3 linked regions of the Coturnix japonica genome follow. The protein of the gene in region 3 interacts with the protein of the main gene of each other region in a pairwise test. Links are inferred from orthologs where the notes say so. Each region holds a gene or a part of one and is shown on either strand. Other genes may lie near its edges. The genes, in order: SMAD1, SMAD7 and PIAS4.

Region 1 (4,302 bases), on a different chromosome or scaffold from region 3:
TGCTGACCCTGCGTAGGAGCAGGAATACGGTGGGAGAAAGGGTGAATGGCTTCAGCCAGCTGAAGTGCTTATGAAACTGTAACAGATATAGTGAACTTCTTTTGAAGCGAGGAAAAACTCTTTCATTTCAAGTACAACAGCACATGTGAGTTCAGAAGAGCTACTGTAAGCTGGGCTCTTTGGTGAATAAAGAAGACAAAGAATGATAGGACCAAGGAACTGAATGAGCTTATTTACTCTGTTATGGAGAGTAAGTAAATTAGTAATTAATTAGTCATCCCAAGGTAATGAGTTCTTAGTGACTTCTCCATAACTGACAAGTCCTGAGAATAAATGTATATGTATTGGTTTCTGTTTGCACTTTCAGGAGGAAATGACATCATAGGCTTCAGACATCCTGGCAGTCATGCAAAGTGTTGGAAAATGTTGCCCACAAGACAAAGGCATTAGGACCAATTTTAAGCTCCGTCTTTCCTTCATAGATCAAAAATAGCCAAATTTTTTACAAACAAGTTGAGTAGATTTAAAAGCAACCCCCTCTACATTTCATATATTATTGCACAAATCTATAAGTCCTCACTATAAGCCAAAAACTGCAAAACTAGGCCGCTGAAAGCAAGGACCTATCAGGATCAATGTGGTTGTTATCATCTTAAGTACTCAGTCGCGGCGGGTCCTGACGCCCATCCTCTATTGCTTATACATGTTCTTTCCAAAAGATCTGTCACATTCAAAGAACAGAACAAACAGTGGTCAGAAATAACACACAGTGATTTTGTTTTCCCCACCAGATTATGCTGTAGCGAACCATTACAGAAAGGGCTTTGGCAATACCTAGTTGCAAAACTGAGGCTAAGATAAAGCTGTTTTACACCTCATTGCTCATCTCCTGTCAAAGAAAAATCATCTCTCCTTTTCCTGCCAAATTGATATATTTTCCCAAAAGTTCTCTAACATTTTCAGCCCTGGCAAAACAATCTGTTCATTTCTTTGTCCTGTTCTCAGAAAGGCTGAAACATTTTCTCTGACATTTTCTACACATTCTGCCTGAAGCACACACCTAGGATAATTAATATTTGATGAAGTTCTGAATACATCAAATCAATACAGTTTCAGTGTAGGCAACCTGAATGACAAACAATTATCTTAGCCCACTAATACTATGCGTAGTTTGCTCCGAAAGTAATGCCTCCTATTTATTCCTTGGAAACTACAACAGGTACAAAACATAATAATGCTACCTGATAGAGCAAATTTGCAGCTACAAAACACTGCGTTTCAACAGAGCCACCACAATTAGCTATGCATTTTTGTCAGCAATGAACAACAGACTGCATACCATGCTGGTGAAAACATGCATGGCTGCCTGGATCATGGCTTGTCTTTCACGTCGCTATCACTACTGCTGATACACACTGCCCACTGCCTCACTGTACTGACACTCTTTGTTCATACACATTCAGCAAGTGTCAATGAATGTCGGTGGGTGCCAGTTTTTCCGCATGGAAGAATTCAGTGACAAATCCTTGCTTTACGTGCACTTCTACCTCAGACATCATTTTGTCAGACTGCCCCTCTGCTGCCATCTGTCACAGGGCAGCAACATGTAAAGGGATATTGGCAGGGAGGTTCAACCTCTACTGCCTTTAATGTCATGGGCCGACAGCCCTCATAGTTCTAAGGACTGAACTATGCCATGCATATCCAGAGATTCTGCTGATGTCAGAGGAAGAGACCTCATGGCTCACCAATACTTCGGAAAGTGGTATTCTAAGTTCCACAGTCAATGAGACTAAGGTACCCATGTGCCTCTTCAGACAATTAGATTTCAGTATGAAGCATTTGATCTGAGTGCAGAAACGTATCACTTTTACAGACAAGGATCAAATGTTCAATATGGACATCATCATCACAAGGAAGTCCCTCAGTAACCGCAAATAGCAAGATATAGCAATGCTGCCTTATTCTAACTGGAAACCTGTAATCAGAAATTAGCCTCAGCCAATGCACAGCTGGTCCAGCTTCTGCAAAGTACTGTCACACGGCATGTGAAACCCCTACAGTTCAGTTGTTCATGCTCCTAAGGCTTTCAGCACCTAGAAGATGGCACTGACAGAGAGTATATCACCCCGATTAAGCAAAGCATATGCCTGTCAGAGAGCAACCAGATGGAAGAGTGCAACAATTTATGGCCTGCAGTTAGACAGTCTTGCACTGTGATCTCATCAAATCCTGAACAGAATATGTCAAACTTGGTCAGTGTGTCAGTGCACAGATAAGATACACTCCAGGGAAAACATGGATAGATTAAGAAACAGTTTAGGATTCTGACATAGGATTTAGATGACAACTGCTAATGCACTGTTTCAATTCTCAGTTAATTTCCCAGATGTCTGAGATACCCCAATCTAGTCCTGGTTGGTCGTAGTTGAGAGTCATTGTGCTGCTGGGAGCAGATTTCTCATTTCTCAGATGAGAAATAAAATTACAGTCATGCCTTGTGATTAATTAAAAAAATCATCCTTGGTTTTGCTTGAGGGCATGGCATTTTCAGAGGCAATGTAATAGAGAAAGGAAGATTGTTCAGTTTCTTTGATCCCGGTATAACCTGCCAGCCTTATTTTTTCAAAATCCTACTTTAAAGTTTGTCAATACTGGGACACAAAAAGCCAGAAATGTAAGTTGGTTTCAGACTCCAAACATCATGAGAATTTTCTAGAAAGACATATGCAATAACGGAGCAGATAACACAACATATTCTTTTACAGTTCCATTCTCTTCCCTTTACACTCACATTTCTGCTCATTCACACCACTAATTACTCAACTGTTAACCTCACCTCATTTCCCCAGATTCTGATCTAGTGTGTGTTCATCCTTATTCTGGTTTGAGTCTCTTTGGTTCCAGTCACTATCTTTGCCTGCAAAACACAATATACATATAGAATTTTACATAGAATTGTTGTGCTCTAACAAAGCATACAAAGTTTTATCTCAGACTCATTAAAGACAGTGACAATGATGCTTCCTGAAGAACTAACTAGTCAGAAGGTAATTAACCAACCTAAAGTTTAGCCAGGGCACCACATAGCACCAATGGCTCGAGAGGAAAATGCCCAGAGGATTGCAAGCAGTCAGGTCTCCTACCTCCCGCACCGCATAACACTGCCCACAGATGGATGGCTAAGGCCAAAGTGAATTTACAAACCTTTTGTTCTTCATAGATACGTAGTGTTTGACTGTATCAGGCTATAGAATAATTAATTTCTGGAACTTTTAGGCTGAAAAGCATTCACATTTTTTATACTTGCTTTGCTCTGATTTTTGTTTTACTTTCCGTTCTTTCAATTTCGACAAAAGTGAATCAGAGAAGCAATGCCTGCCTTATCGTTGATTCGTGGTATATAATCACATTAAATACAGATCACTGGCCTCCTAGTTACTACAGTGCCATTTACAAGAGACAATTATCCCTGCATGGTGCAGTTTTCATGATTTAGTGATTGAAAATGCTTGTTATCAGTGCAGACCCAGCTGTGTGTTTCTCTCTCTAAAGCTGATTTGATTTTCCAGCGCTGTCATCCTTGAAGTTCTCTGCAGTGCAGCTCAGTTCCCAGTCTGCACATACCAAGTGAGGTCCTTTTGATGTAAGGTGCATGGGGCAGAGTCTGCATGCTGCTCCCACCTGTTTCAGGACAGCAGTACAAGAAACAGGAAAGAAACACAGCTACTCTGGGAAGTCTCCAGCCACTGCAATATGCTGAAAGGAAGCCCTACTAAAGGCAGTGACCACGTGTAAATGCCAAAACAAAAGGTGAGGGGGCTGGGGGATGGAAAACAGCAGCATTGTCTACCAAAACACTCCAGTTAGTTTAAAAATTAGCTGGAGAAGATGCAAAGAAGCCTGAGTCTTAATGACCTCAGTCCTGTAATATACTACTAATTAGCCCTATGATGAATAAATAGGAACAAAATAAGGAGTGACAGACTAGGTCAGCCAGTGGTTTGCCAAGCCTTGTCTCATCTTTTCTACTTGGGTCCGTATGAGGTGCTTTTTAATTGTGTCTATGCTATCTTTTATTAGTAATCAGGACCAGAATTGCATTGCATTATACCTTATACAAATAGACACAGAAACACTCCACTTGCTCTTTGATCCTATAAAGCACAGCAAGAGCAGCTCCTCCCCAGCTGATATTTGTGCAGCTCCTTCTGGAGGGCAGACACATGCCTTTGCTGCTTCTCTGCCAGCCCTCTCTCTACCTCCTGCTGACCTAACCCAGCAAGCCTCATATTTTTCTGC
Region 2 (4,147 bases), on a different chromosome or scaffold from region 3:
GTTGCATCTCTATCTCCCACGTCCCCACTTCCATACCATCCCATCTGCAACCCCATCCCCATTCATGACCCCAACCTGATTCCCTACCCTATTCCTATAACCCATCTCCACCTCCATCTGCAACCCCATCCCTATCCCTGACCCCAGCCCCACATCACTACCTCCATTCCCATTCCCAGACCATACCTCAGCCCCATCCCCATATCCCTACCTCCAACCCCACACTCCAGCCCCAGGCCATAACCCACCCCCATCCCCATATCACTACCTCCATCCCTGTCCCCAGGCCACAGCCCAGCTCCAGGCCATAGCTCATTCCTGACCCCATCCCCATACCAGTACCATCTTCATCCCCAGGCCATACCCCAGCCCCAGTCCCAGGACCCCATCATACCCCAGCCCCATCATTCCCATTATATTCCTATCCCTAGGACATACTCAACCCCTAGGACATATCCAGCTCCAGCCCTGTATCACTACCTCCATCATCCTTATCCCTAACACATACCCAAGCCCTAAGACATATCCCACTTCCAGCCCTATACCACTGCTTCCATCCCCAACCCCAGGACACATGCCATCCCCACCAGGACCTCCAGTCCCACCCTTATTACCTCCATCTCCATCCCACTATACCCCATCCCCATCCCAAGGACATACTCCATGCCCACCTCTCCAGTCCAATCCCCATCATTACCTCCATCTCCATCCACATTTCACTACCTCTGTTCCCACCCCATTATACCCCATCCCTAGGACATACTCCAACTCCACCACTACCTCCAGTCCCATCCCCATTTCACTACCTCCATTCCCACCCCATTATGTGCTGTCCCTATTACATACTCCAGCCCCAGCCCCATATCACTAATATCACTATTCTCCAGCCCAATCTCAATACCATCCTTAGGACATACTCCATCCCCATTACTACCTCCATTCCCACCTCAATAAACCCCAACCCTAGGACATATCCCATCCTTAGGACACACTTCAGCCTCATCCCAATTTAATGCCATCTCTAGGACATACTCCAGCCCCAGCCCCATATCACTATCACCATCCCCATTTCACTACCTCTATTTTCACCCCATTAAACCCCATCCATAGGACACACTCCATTCCCAGCCCCATGTCATCATCTCCAGCCCCATCCCAATTTAATTCAAACCCCAGGACACACTCCATCCCCACCACCACCTCCATCCCCACATCCCTACCAACTCCACCCCTAGGACATACCCCATCTGTCAACTCCCAGTGCACACTACACGAGTTGGGATGTGGGATACCCAGAATCACAAAGCCACGACACCCATCCCTCGGACAGAATCACCCCCAGCCCCCGGCCCAATTCACCGCCACCCCCACCCAACACCACGACCACCTTCCACCCCCACATCAGAGCCGCCCCCATCCTCACCCCGTCCCCACATCCCCCCGCCCATCGCCCCTTACCGAGCTCGCAGAGGCGGCTGAGGTGGTGCGGGTTGCAGCACACGAGCTCGGTGGGCGCCGCGCCGTCGGCCTGGCAGCAGCCTCGGAGCCGCTTGAGGGGCGCCCCGTGCCGCAGCTCGGGCCAGCGGAACACCCGGCACAGCAGCGCGGGCAGCGCGTCCCGCTGCGCTCCCAGCCGCGCCTCCCCTCGAGCCGGCAGCAGCACGCAGGGGGTGCGGGCCGCCCCGCGGGACTCGACGGCGCGCAGCAGCCCCTCCAGCTGCCGCTCCTTGCAGCGCTTCAGCACGGCGTGGGTCAGCGCCTTCAGCTCGCCCTCCGCCGCCCCCCGGCCGCCCCCGCGGGGGGGTTTGGCCGGGCAGCACCCCCGGTTCCCCCCGCCGCATGAGTGCGGCCGAGGTTCGGCCGGCGCTGCGCCGTCTCCCGTCTCCTCCTCTCCGCCGCCGGGTGCGCGGCTCCGCCAGAGCCGTCGGACGAGGAGCGAGCGTTTGGTCCTGAACATGCGGGACGTGAGGAGGGGCCCCCGGCTACGGCACGGGCATGGCGTGCGCCGAGCATGAAGGGGCCGGCAGCCGGGGCGAGGCGGGGGGCAGCGGCGAGCGGGGGGGGGGCCCGGCCGGGGTGGTGCATGCGCCAGGCTCCGCGCTTTGATGGCCGGGGGGGTGCGCAGCGTGAGGGGCACTCGTGCTGCGCGAGGTAAAAGGGAAAAAAAGCGGGGGAGAAAGAGCTCGGAGGGAAGGCGGTGCTCGGCTTTAAAAATACGAAAAGATAAAAGTGGGAAAAAACGCAAAAAAGTGACAAATCAGCGCAGTTTCACGGCGCTTTGCTTGGAGGTGGGCAGCGCGAGGGGTGACCGCGCCGCGAGGTGAAGGGGAGCAAAAAGCGGGTAAGCAAAGGGAGAGTTCGGGGGTGCCGTTCCCCTTTAGTAAGTGAAGGAGAGAAAAAGGAGAGGGGAAAAAAAAAAAAAAGGAAAACAAAAAAGAAAATGGTAGAAAAAGGAGCAGTTTCACTCCGCTTTGCTTGGCTGGGGAGAGAGGAGTGAGCAGCACTCAAGGGTTGCCCACGCTGCGAGAGGTGAAAAGCAAAAAAAGTCGGGGGGGGGGAAGAGAAAAACCCGGGGGTGCCGCTCTCCTTTAGGAAAAGGAGAGAAAAAGGATTAAAAGGGAAAATGGGAGAAATCGGCGCGGTTTCAGAGCGCGGCTCCGCGGCGCATCGCGCGGGGGGGGGCGGCCCAGCGCGGGTGCGGAGAGAGCACAGAGCCGGGGGGAGCCGTGGGGCTGCCGGGGGCCGCAGCTCCCATCAACGCACCGCGACGAGAGGGGGAGAGGGGCGGAAAAAATGGAGAAGGGCGAGGCAAAGGGACGGGGCGGGGGGGGGGGGGGGTGGGAGAAGAAGGGAGGGGGGGGGGGAAAGAGGTTAAAAAATAAAAAAATAATAATAATTAAAAAAAAAAACTTTAAAAAAATAAAAATGTAAAATAAGTCTAAAAAAGGAGCCCGGCGGCCCTACGTGCGGAGCGGCCTCGGCGCGTTCGTCCGCGGAGCGAGCAGCATCGCGCGTCCCCGCTCCGCTCCGCTCTGCCAAGGAGAGAAACGGGGCGAATGAAGCGCGGAATGTAAGCGCGGCCGCGGCTCCCCGCCCCCACCCTCCCCGCAGCCTCTCGGGCTTTTCTCGGTGATTCTTCTCCCTCCTCCTCCTCTTTTTGCCCCTATTTTCCCCTGCTCTCCCCGCTCACACACCCGCACCGCCGCGGCTCCGTCGTTCCCTTTTGCCTTTTTTTTTTTCCCCTAATTATTTTTGCGCGGGGGGAGGTGTGTATGTGTGTGTAGGGAGGAGGGGGGAGAAGCGACGGTGCGTGCGCGTTGTGGCCGCGCCCCCCTTTTCTTCTTCTTTTTTTTCCCTATTGCCTCCCTTCCCCCCCACCCCCCTTTCCCCCCCGCCCGCTCCGTTTGCGCGCAGCCCCATCACGTGGGCGTCTAGACAGCGCGTCGCTCCGGGAGGGGAAAAAAAAGGAATTATATATTTATCTCCATCCGCCCGCACTGATCCGACGGCGCTTTGCGCAACGCGGGGTGCCCGGCGGGGGGGGGGGAATGGGATGGTCCTGCTGCCTGCAGGGAGAGGGGGGTCCCCAGGGGTGACCCCCGGCAATGAGCCCTAAGGGATGGGGACCCCCCCCATAAGTGTGGGGCAGCTCCTGCATAGGGGCGTGTTACTGCAGGGCTGCCATGCGCTGTGTGCTGTGTGTGCGGTGCTGCATGCATGCAGCGTGCTGCCTGCTGGGTGTTGCATGCAGCGCTGGTACATGCTACATGCTGTGTGTCATGCTGTGTGCTACCTAGTGTGTTATGTGCCAGGTGTTACATGCTATAGGGCATGTTACATGTTACAGTGCTATATGATACTACATGGTATATGGCATGTTACATGTTGCAGTGCTATATAATACTACATGGCATATGGCATGTTACATGTTGCAGTGCTAGATGGTATCACATGCTACATGCTGTTACATGTCACCATGCTGTATGGCGTTACATGTTACACGCTGTATGTTATGTTAATGTTACATGTTACATATTTAAAATTACATATGACAGTGCTGTAAGATGTTACTTGCTATGTGTTAAATGTTATGTGCTCCCTGATGTTATGTTACCTGCTGTATGTCACATGCTGCATATTACATGTT
Region 3 (3,236 bases):
CCCACCCGCCCTCCCCCCCAATGGCTTCTGCTCAACTAAACGGGGTCACTACGCACGACGCCTACGTTACCTCGGGGTGGGGATGAAGGATACGGGACGTGTCCCAGGACACGAGGTGCAGAGCTGCCCCAGCTCCCCCCTACAACAGTGCGCTCCCATCCATACGGCTCTCCCCATTCACCCCCCCACCCCTACAAACCCCCCTCTATACCAAGTGATACAAACATCCCCCTCCCCTCCCACCCACCCCTCTGCTCTCCCTCCCCCCACCCCCTCTCTCCCTCCCCACGGGTCCGGCAGAACTCGATATACTCAGGAATGGTTAATGAAGGAGACCATCAAGATGCACAGCTTTGGAGACACGTGGGGCTGCGCTGGGGGGCAGCAGAGCCGGAGCTGCAGCCCCAGCCGTGGGTTAAGACACTTTCCTTGCTTCAGAGTCTGGTTCAGGGTCAGGCCTGGAGTTGGGCTGGTTTTCCAACCAAGAAGCAGCTCAGTGGTTGTGGGCTTTTTGTCTGTTTTTTTTCTCTTGTTTTAATGGTTAATTCGGAATAGGAAAGTCAGAGATGGGGGTCGATGGGAGATGAGGTGGGAGACGACGACGCTGCTCTCCAACCCCCCTCCAGTTTCAGCACCAGAGTATTCAAGTCTGTCCGTTCTGAGATCCAGAGCTGCCTCCGCAGTCAGCAGGCAGAAACCAAACCCTTCTCGTAGGAGCAGCGCCGTTTTGGTTGGGGTCCCTCATCGTCGTCATCTTCCTCCTCATCCTCCTCCTCCTCCTCCTCCGACGATGAGCTGTCCAGTGTTAAATCCACCACATCAGCAGCAGCTTTGCCGTTCTCACCGTTGCCGTTAGGTGTGGGCAACAGCCCGTTCACATCCGAAGAACCTGAAAGTGGTCGGGGAAAGAGAAGACTAATTAAAGCCTCTTCTAATTAACATGAGGCTCAGGGCATCAGATGTGCGGTGCAGGGTTACTCACCCAGCACCAGGATGGGGCACTGCGGGCTGCAGCTGCGCTCCTTCTCCGCTCGGATGGGGCACCACGAGCCGTCCACCAGGTACTCGATCTCATCCGCGTCCTCACACTCAGTCAAGATCTTTGACAGCAGCCTGGGTGGGAGGAAGGGCCCCATTGGTCTGTGTTGGCCAGCAGGGAGCCAACGCTCTGCACTGCACTGAGAGCCATGGACCAGCAGCTATTAGAATTAGAAGCACCTCAGCTCTGCAGAGCCTCCCAGGCAGACGCCCCAGACCCCACCAAGGCCACGTGTGGGCTGGCAACTGCCCAGGCTGTGCCCAAGGAACCACCCACCCCCATCACTGCCTGTCCCAGCAGGGCCCAGTGATCCCACATACAGCACTCTGCTCCCCACTGCACACCCACAGCCACTGCAGCAGCTGCCCACCCCACAGCAGCACACTGCGGCCCCACGCAGCCCCCAGTGCCAGCACACACAGCCCTGCGGGCAGCCCCACTGCTCAGCACAGCCGCCCTGGCTGCAATCACCACCACGGAGCCCCAGCACGGGGTGAGAGCAGCACTGACACATGGCAGCACTCAGAGCACTGTCAGCACAGCCCTGTGCCAACCCACCGCTCAGCTCCATGCACCACCCCAGCACTGCGGTGATGCCGCACTAAAGGTCGATTACACAGCTGTGTGATCCCAGCCCATAGATCAGCAGAGGGCTCTGCTGCCTTCCTTCACTCCCAGATGGGAGCCAGGCCTCCATGCAGCTCTGCAGGCAGCTCCACCACCAGGAGGGGGAGAACTGCTGCAGAGCTGGGCGCACACAGCAGCCTGGCTGCAGCACCCAGCACCTCCAGGTGCTGCTCTGCCCACAGGAGCACCCAGCCGGCCTCACCTGGGGAGAACCAAAGCTCTCTATGGTAGAAAGCAAACAGCTCCGGTGCAGAGACAGAGGGAGCAGTGCTCCCACATAGACCAAGACAAGGGAGGAAGGGCAGGGCTGGAGCTGCCCCTGCCATCATTCACAGCACGCGCGTTTCTTGCCTCGCTCTTATCCAAACGTGCCCTGCAATCTGCTGCCCCAATTCCCCACATAAGACAGATTACGTTCCTGATGCAAACGCTGCACCTGCACTTCTGCCTCAGGGACTGCACGGTGTGGGATGTTTGCTTGAGAAGCTGGCAGAGATCCCCCCAGCCGAGCTCCCAGCGTGGCGAGCGCTGCCTGCTCACAGCAAGAGAAGAGGAAGATGGTTCCTATCAAAAATCACCTTATCGTGTGCTTATAAAGTGGGTTTATTCCACGCAGCGTGACATCTGGCAACCAGGGCAGCCAATTGTGCGGGTTCATCAGAGTGAGGCAGTAAACGCTCGATGCTCGTAAGGCTTTAAGGGAATCCTAAAATCAAGAAGGGCAGACCGACAAACCTTGCTCCAGCACACCACCACAAGCAGTCAGGGCATTATGCAGGAGCACAACACGCTTCCAGCTTTGCTCCCATGCAGGCTCCAGAAGGGCAGACTAAAGAATGCTTCACCCAGCAGCAAAACCCCAGGGCTGAGGACAGCAGCACCCACACTCACCCATCAATTATCAGCTGGTCGTAGGGCGCGGGCTTGTCACACACGGGACACATCCACGTGGGCTTCTTCTCATTCATCTGAAGGTAGAAGACTGCATCGAAGCACTGCAGGTGGGCGCAGGTCTCAGCCCGGCACGGCACGGACAGCCGCATCTTCACCAGCTGCGGGAGGAGGGCAGTGGTGAGCAGCAGGGCCGAGCTCACAGCCAGCGCTGTGTCCCCTCCAGCACAGCAGCGCTGCTGCACAAGGCAAAGCTGAGCTGGCAGGATGGGTTTTCTGGATGTAACCACACTTAGGAGGTATTGCAGAGACTCACCGGGCAGATGAGAGACACCCGAACGCCTGTTGTAGCGATTTCACTGTCTGGGTCCAAACGTAGCTTCTCTTTTACTGCAGGAAGAGCAAAGGGTGATAAAATTAACTTCAACATGGAGGCGTCTCACAGTGCAGGGTGAGGAGCCCTCAGGGGCAGAGAGAACAGCACAGCACTGCAGCAGCAATGCACAACCTGCATGGCTCAGCGCTCAGCAGCACACAGGCTGCAGGCCAGGCAGGAAAGCTTCTTCCTGCAGCCCCCGACCTCAGGGCTGCTCCCCTTCCCCACAGCCCAGCCTTCCCAGCCAGCAGGAGCCTGCTGTCACCATCCCTGTGCTGCTGGGGAGCAAAAGGGAGGACAGAA

The links.
Region 1: the proteins of PIAS4 (region 3) and SMAD1 interact in a two-hybrid assay, tested with the Homo sapiens proteins (2 studies listed by BioGRID and IntAct). The link is inferred for Coturnix japonica from reciprocal best matches to the Homo sapiens genes PIAS4 and SMAD1.
Region 2: the proteins of PIAS4 (region 3) and SMAD7 interact in a two-hybrid assay, tested with the Homo sapiens proteins (2 studies listed by BioGRID and IntAct). The link is inferred for Coturnix japonica from reciprocal best matches to the Homo sapiens genes PIAS4 and SMAD7.

The regions. Positions count from the first base shown.
Region 1 is NC_029519.1:27,332,664-27,336,965, reverse strand, and holds the start of SMAD1 (mothers against decapentaplegic homolog 1), read right to left. Parts: upstream 2,916-4,302; 5' UTR 2,840-2,915; intron 1-2,839. UniProt on the Homo sapiens protein: Transcriptional modulator that plays a role in various cellular processes, including embryonic development, cell differentiation, and tissue homeostasis.
Region 2 is NC_029547.1:1,083,047-1,087,193, reverse strand, and holds the start of SMAD7 (mothers against decapentaplegic homolog 7), read right to left. Parts: upstream 2,821-4,147; 5' UTR 1,958-2,820; coding exon 1,459-1,957; intron 1-1,458. UniProt on the Homo sapiens protein: Antagonist of signaling by TGF-beta (transforming growth factor) type 1 receptor superfamily members; has been shown to inhibit TGF-beta (Transforming growth factor) and activin signaling by associating with their receptors thus preventing SMAD2 access.
Region 3 is NC_029543.1:783,143-786,378, forward strand, and holds the end of PIAS4 (E3 SUMO-protein ligase PIAS4), read right to left. Parts: intron 2,948-3,236; coding exon 2,874-2,947; intron 2,719-2,873; coding exon 2,558-2,718; intron 2,373-2,557; exon of another isoform or gene 2,245-2,372; intron 2,199-2,244; coding exon of another isoform or gene 1,889-2,198; exon of another isoform or gene 1,829-1,888; intron 1,114-1,828; coding exon 983-1,113; intron 890-982; coding exon 684-889; 3' UTR 501-683; downstream 1-500.